Linked DNA regions of Arabidopsis thaliana. The protein of the gene in region 1 interacts with the protein of each later gene in a pairwise test. Each region holds a gene or a part of one and is shown on either strand. Other genes may lie near its edges.

Region 1 (3,737 bases):
GCGCCTAACGATTTTTTTAACATTGAATAAGAGTAGTTCTTTTTTTTTTGTTATCAAATAATTTTTTTCGAAAAGAATAAGAGATTATTGTTGCTTTTGCCATTTTTCATAGAATTTTTTTGAAATTGTAATTTTTACTAAAATCTTATGGATATGCCATTTTCTAACACTAAAAAAAGTATGTATTTCCGATTTTTTTGGTAAAAATACGTAGTTTATACAAAATATTAAATCCTAAGAACAAGCACAACCGACTAAACCAAAACATAACGAATAAAACACATGTTAAATCATATTTTCGTAGTGTGAAAAAGGCAAAATCTACAAACTATTCAGAAAAGGACAAAATCCACAGATACCATCCCAAAAAATGGCAAATCGATAATTGATTCAAAGAATAATAGTTCTTACTTTAAATTGCTGGGGAAAACAATTATTCTCTATGTATGGGTCCTAAAAGAATTCAATTGAAAATTTCCGTCTAAATATTGTACCAGTCACATCTTAAATTTTCGAAATAAAATTCTACAATTAAAGTTTCCCACACTACGGTGAGCAAATACATTACTTAATAATCTTTTTTTGGGGGCAAAACATTACTTAATAATCAAAATACATAATTAAGTTAAAAAGAGATCCTTTAACCATTATTAATAAACAACATTAGTTTTTGTCTTTCGAAATGAAGAAAACACAAATACAAACAATTGAACACTTAGACTAGTTCTTCTCCCTCTTTTGTGATTAGAGATTATTGTTGATGTAAGGATCATAGACACCGGTGGTGGAAGGCATGTAACTGGTGGAAGCATGATCAACGGCTGGTAGTTGATTGGATGGTAGTTGATGGTAGTTGTAGCAGTTTCCGTCCACGAAAGGAATGCTTTCACGCCCTCCAACATGATTCATATGTTGTTCCACCATCGGATTCATGAATGATTGTTGTTGATTCAGATACTGATTCGAATTCAGATTCAAATTCAGATTCAAATTTATGTTGTAGAATTCTCGTTGAATCTGATTAAACAGATTATTAGGAGCCTGGTATTGAACCTGATTCATATTCTGATTTTGAAAAAAATCACAAACGTTAGTAGGAACAAGGTGTTGAAACGGTTCATGCAGATTTTGACTCATATTCATATTTTCATATGGAATATGATCAAAAAATCTACTGGAAGCAGTTACCGCAGTTGCGTCCGCATCAAGAAAAGGAGTCATATCGCCCGTAAGAACATGAGGATTGGTAGCATTAAGAGTATCTACAACCCCAGTTGTAGCATGAATAGGAGAGTCGGAAAATGACTCATCACCAATTTCGTCAACACCAATTCTAGTAGGAAAAGGAGAGACGGAAGACAACAACGACTCACCATTTTCTTTAATGGACTCGATCCTTCCGTTAAGCTGATCGAGATATAGATTTATACAAGATTGCAAATCTTGAAGGTCTTTTGCATCATAATGATACTGGGACATTTTGCCTTCAACACAATCAAACATAAATCGTCTAACCTGTAACTCTCGGTTCTCAGCAGCCAGGTTCTTTAGTTGCTCTTTTGCTTTGGTAATCCTCTCCATAAGGTAAGTCTCTTGATCCATCATCTTCTTGGTTCGGGCTGTCGGCGGCATCTCCAGAAACCTTGAAGCCACCTTTTTAGCACCTTCCCTTGACGGCCATGACTCTGGAACCGGTATGAATGGACTGTAGATGAGAGCACAAGCTTGGACACCACACAGAGTTGACAACTCGTGGAGTTTCTTAAAAATCCCGTCTTTCCTCTTTATGAAGGATGTTTTCCTTGATCTTTCATTAGCTATCAAAGATAGCTTCACCTTCTTCATCCCCATCAATTTGTTTTTTTTTTTTGTTTTGTGTGGTTTGTTTAATTTGTTTGCTCAAAGGATGTTTATATAGCAAAGAAAGGTGATTCTATAGACACTAGGATTCTTATCACTTTGGTGGACTAATTAATTCTAAATAACATCCAGGAAATCTCTTATCAATTAATTGACCAGGTAATTCATTATTATCTATATAAAAATATTTTTTCTTATCCAAAGTTTGGTACGTCTGATCCTAAATAATATCTGATGACAAAAAAAAGAAAAAAATCTATCCATGTAATACGAGGGGGCATGTAATATAATATTTTGTATTTCTAAGTTTTGTTTTTATTTTGGCGAATTAATTTCTCTTACTCTCATTGTTTCTTTTTACTAAGAATAATTTCTAGCTTACTTTGTTCTTAAAATATGAAGTTTTGCAATAGTTTTAAGTGATTGTACTTTTAAAATACAGTAATATATTGTCAATGTATATAGAATTGTGGTAAGCTAGAAATTACTCTAAAGTTTGTTATCTAAAGTAAATTTCAGAAAGTTTGTTATCTACAGTAATTTAAAGATGTACTCTGAATCATACAAATAAATTTTTAGAATGGGCAAACAACTTGGAAAATATGCAAAGTACATCTCACAGAAACGCCAAAAACTTTGAATAATTGGTATGAATGCCCTTTCAACACAATCCCTTTTCAGTATTGCCCTTTCTTATTTGTTATTTTCATTTATACCCTTTTTTAATTTTTAATGACTATTTACCCCTATTTAAAATATGTTTTAGGTAAAAAAATGAAATATTGATTTTTCCCGCCTATAATATTCTGAAAAAAATTTTCCGCCAAAAAATTTCAAAAAAACATTTTCTGCCATAATATTTGTTTTAAAAAAGATTTTTCCCGCAAAAAACAAATTTCGCAGGAAATAGATTTACAATGGATTTTAATAGATTTTTAAAATGTGTAAAAGGGTTTTAAAATATTTATAAGGGATTTTAAGAGATTTTTATAAAGTGTAAAAGGTTTTAAAAAGATTTACAAAGGATTTTAAAAGATTTTTATAGGGTTTTAAAAGATTTACAAGTGATTTTAAAAGATTTGAAAAGGGTTTTAAAAGATTTACATGTGTTTTTAAAGATTAACAAAGATTTTTAAAATAATTTTCTAGAACTTTAAAATGGTTCAAAAATTATTAAAGGGTTTACATGAGATTTTAAAAGATTTTTAATGGTTTACAAGGGTTTTTAAAACATTTTGTAAGGGGTTCATAAGAGTTTAAAATGGTTCAAAAATTATTAAGGGTTTTTAAAAGATTTTTATATGGTTTTTAAATAGTTTTCAAGGGTTTTAAAGGATTTAACAAGGATTTTTACAACATTTACAAATGTTTTTAAAATCCTTGTAAATCTTTTAAACACTCTTGTAAATCTTTTAAAATTATTGTAAAAGGTTTTAAAATGTAAAACAAAAGGTTTTAAAACGGGTTTTTAAAGTATTTACATATATATTTAAAATTTTTATAAAGATTTTAATAGGTTTTAAAATGATTTACAAGGGTTTTTAACAAATTTACAAAGCTTTTAAAAACCTTTACAAAGATTTTTAAATGCATGTTTTTAGCTGGAAAAACATTTGTTACAGAGAAAAAAAAATGGCGGGAAAAAAATTTGGCGGAAAAAAAAATATTTTGGTAGAATTTTTTTTTGTCAGGGAAAAAATAAATTCGGCGGGAAAATTTCAGTTCATAAATTACATGTTTCTCATTAGATGTGGGTAATTTGTTTGTTTTGCTCAAGAGAAAGAGTATTTTTAAAAATGGACTACATATAAGGGTAAAATCAAGAGTTTAATACATTAATATGACTACATGTATTTATTTATTAATAATGACATATA
Region 2 (3,723 bases), on another chromosome or scaffold:
ATGCCAAGGACATGGCCTATGAGAAGGCAGGCATAGTAAAAGACATGGCATATGATAAAGCGGGGGATGCAAAGGACGTGGCTTATGAGAAGGCTGGCATTGCCAAGGATATGGCCTATGATAAGGCGGGCAATGCCAAGGACATGGCCTATGATAAGGTGGGATCTGCTTATGGCAGTGCGCAGAAGGCAAAGGATTCTGGTTATGAGAAAGCTGGTGAGGCCAAAGACTACGCCTACAAGAAGGCTGGCAATGCAAAAGACATAGCTTACGAAAAGGCCCAAGATGCAAAAGACTTTGCATATGACAAGGCGGGTTACGGATACGACAAGGCCGGTGATGTGATTAGGATGGCAACGGATAAGAGCGGTGAAGCCTATGAAGGAGCCAAAGAAAAGTCAAAGAGTGCCAAAGACACGGCAGGAGAAGCAATGGATGATTCTATTGACTACATGAAAGACAAATCACACAATGCCAAAGATGGAGCAACTAGAGGATTTGAAGAAGCCATGGAAAAAGTCGGCGAAAAGTACGGTGTAGCCAAAGAATCCACAAAATATGCTTATGAAACCGCAAAGAAAAAGGCTTCTCAAGTTGCGGGAGAAATAAGAGACCGTTATGCTGAGCTCTAAAATCAATTTGTTATACAATAAACACAAAGTCTTTAAGTTAAAGCAATGTTGAACAAAGAGAAGTAAAAATAGTATATATATATATATAGAAATCTCTTACAAATCCTTCTTCTTTGCTGCTTGTTTATTGTTGTGCATCCAAACTTTAAACACTTGTCTTTTAACTTTAATCTCACGACAAAACCGATTCACTTCATCATCTTCTAGTTTTGTCATTCTCCAACCAATCTTCTCAGCAAACTCCATCATCTTCTCCTTCTGTTCTTCATTAAACTTTGTCCTAAACCGTTTCTTGGGTTGATAATGATGAAACTGATCCACTCCATAACCACTAAAAGATTGATGAAACTTGTTTAGATCCTCCGTCGATGACTCCGCCGCACAACCACCACCACCACCAAAACTCATCATTATCGGAGACACGTGGCGGCTTCCGAGTGGTCTCTGTGAATGGCCAAAGCTATTGAAATTGACAACAAACAAACCATCGATCTCTTTTCTATGGAAGCTCCGGTGGCAATCACAAGCTGCACAAAGAAGAGACTCCACCGTGCCTTCTTCCCCGGAAGACATAAACTCGCCGCAACCGTCGACAACGTGTCCACCGGAGCTCGCCGCGTGATTCTTTTGGCATTCTCTATACCTTGCCTTCCCCGGAGAAGTAGTTTGAGGCCTAGCGTATGATCTTGGAGCATGAGATATAGAAATTGGGTTAGTATCAAGATCCGGATCCGGATCCGGGTCCGACCCGTTTCTTTTGGTGGTGGGTTTCTCTTTGTTGGCGGTTTGGGAGTAAGTGTACGGAGGAAGACGATGATGATCTAGAGCTGATGATTTTCTTCTTGTCATCTCCATTTTCTCATCTTTCTTCTCTCTAACTTCCATCTTTTCTGATCTTGAAGCTTCTGAATAAAGAAAACCCTAATATATAACTTTTCTCTTAAACAAACATTAAAACTTTCTTAGTAATCTCTCTCCAAAACCCTAAGCTATTTTGATTAAAGAAATCATCATAGCTTTAGCTTCTCATAAACCTATAGAGAAAATGAAGATGATAAATATCTCTTCCAAAGTTGAAACCTTTTTAAAAATTTTGACTTTGACTTTTGTATTAGTGATAGCCCACCAAAACCTACTAGACTAATCTCAAGTCTACAAGCAACTAAATTAAAGGGGAAAACTTATCTAACCCCATTTAAGAAGAGATCAAGAAAAGAAAATAAAGTTTAGGTCGTTACTAATGGAGAAAGAGAAAAGAGGAGAGAAGAAGACACTATTGGTCCTTCTAGAGAGAGAATTAGAGAATCGTGTTTCCTATTGCCCATCAATTTCCGAGAGAGAAAAAAAATCTAATGAAGGAGCCAAGTGGGTTTGGTCTGTGCCAATAATAATAATAACACAGTCCACTAAGAAACAAGAGATGGAGAGAGAAAGTAAGATGTGGACTTGTAGCAGACAGTGCCACGTTGTTTCTCTATCATACAGTGTCCGCACATTGGTCGCAATACATCTTTCTTTTATTGGTTTTTAATGTTGAGTAATGATAAAATTATCTTGTGTTAATTAAGTCGAATGTCAACAATTAGTATAGTTGATGAGATTAGTGTCTGTGGCTTAGCGTAAAATTAGCGATGTAAGTAGGTTTAGTACGATCAGTGCAACATATTATGGTGCATGCATTAAATATTGTTTGTAAAATAAAATGAAAGATTGAATACCTTATGAACATTTACTTTGTAAAATAAATAAGATAACCAAAATATTGTTTGTAAAATAAGCGAAAATCGAATTGGTCGAAATATTTGTAATATATGGTATGGTCTCTTATCTACTTTGATCTGATTTTTAAAATTCAGACAACCAAAATAAGATGATTTGGGCAGAATTTTTTCTCAACTCTTTTATTTTGCGCTAATTAGAGTAACCAATCACATTCTTAATGTTTTTTTCCGTACACACCCTTAATGTTTAAAGTTATGAAAACATACAATAAATAAAAAAAATGGAGTAATCGACAGTGTTTTGACCGGATTTGTGTTTCATAATGCAATCCTTACACAATTCTCATTGGAGAGCTTTATTTCATTTTATTTTTTTGGGAAAAACTGGAGAGCTTTTACCGGACTTTTAATATATAAAAACTTATGAAAAAAATTCTTAATAGGCTTTTCTTCCACTTGTCAATTTATATTTAATATTAAATTTTTCATTTTAGTGTAAGTTACATTAAAATAACAATATTTATTGTTAAGATATTCAAAATAAGTATCTAATGGATGAGAATTATGGTTTAGAAGAATAAATATAAAATCAAAACAAAAAAAAAGAACAGAAAGTGGACGAATGATGTTCTACTTGACATATAAAACTAAAACTAAATCTTCAAACCAAGATATATATATATATATATATATATATATATATATATATATATATACTTTTAGTTACGGTTGATTTCTCCAAAATGGAGCCAAAAGATCAGTAGACCATGATAGAAGAACAAAAAAAGGATTTTAGTGCTGGATAATGATTATGATTCGTTGATGACATACAGGATTATTATCATTTGTTTAGTTAGTTGAACAATTATATTTAAATTGAATGGTCAGTCTAGATACATGTAACTATATGCATTTCTCATGTGCGACATATCTCATCCCATATGCTGTTCCTCGCGGCCACACGTTCGGGGAAATCTAACTTGATTTTTTTTACAATAAACAATACTAGTACTTCGTGAAGAAAAAGAATTACTAACATTTTGAGATTCTTAATTTCTAATAATGCCTTTTTTAGAAGAAAAAAAAATCAAAGTTTAGGAGAGAGGAAAATAATAATATTCTAAAGTTTACAACTATCATCTAAGAAACTAGTATATATCATTCTATCATTGTACTTTTTTAAATATAACATTTATCATTATACAAAAAAATTCATAACATCCTATGAAAAATAAATAAAACTTAGGCTTCTTTCATTTTTTAAATGTGAAAAAAACAGACACAAAATCTTAATAAATTGAAAAGGGAGGATTATAAAGGAAACAAAGCCTCATTTGAAACTTAAGTATAATTGTTTTGAAGTATATTAC

What was found. The genes of interacting proteins can lie anywhere in the genome.
Region 2: the proteins of AGL36 (region 1) and HB24 interact in a two-hybrid assay, tested with the Arabidopsis thaliana proteins (one large-scale study listed by BioGRID).

The regions. Positions count from the first base shown.
Region 1 is NC_003076.8:9,341,893-9,345,629, reverse strand, and holds AGL36 (AGAMOUS-like 36), read right to left. Parts: upstream 1,846-3,737; coding exon 745-1,845; 3' UTR 619-744; downstream 1-618. UniProt on the Arabidopsis thaliana protein: Probable transcription factor.
Region 2 is NC_003071.7:7,970,394-7,974,116, forward strand, and holds HB24 (homeobox protein 24), read right to left. Parts: upstream 1,689-3,723; 5' UTR 1,518-1,688; coding exon 729-1,517; 3' UTR 633-728; downstream 1-632. Other genes in the region: AT2G18340 (late embryogenesis abundant domain-containing protein / LEA domain-containing protein), read left to right, coding at 1-632. UniProt on the Arabidopsis thaliana protein: Putative transcription factor.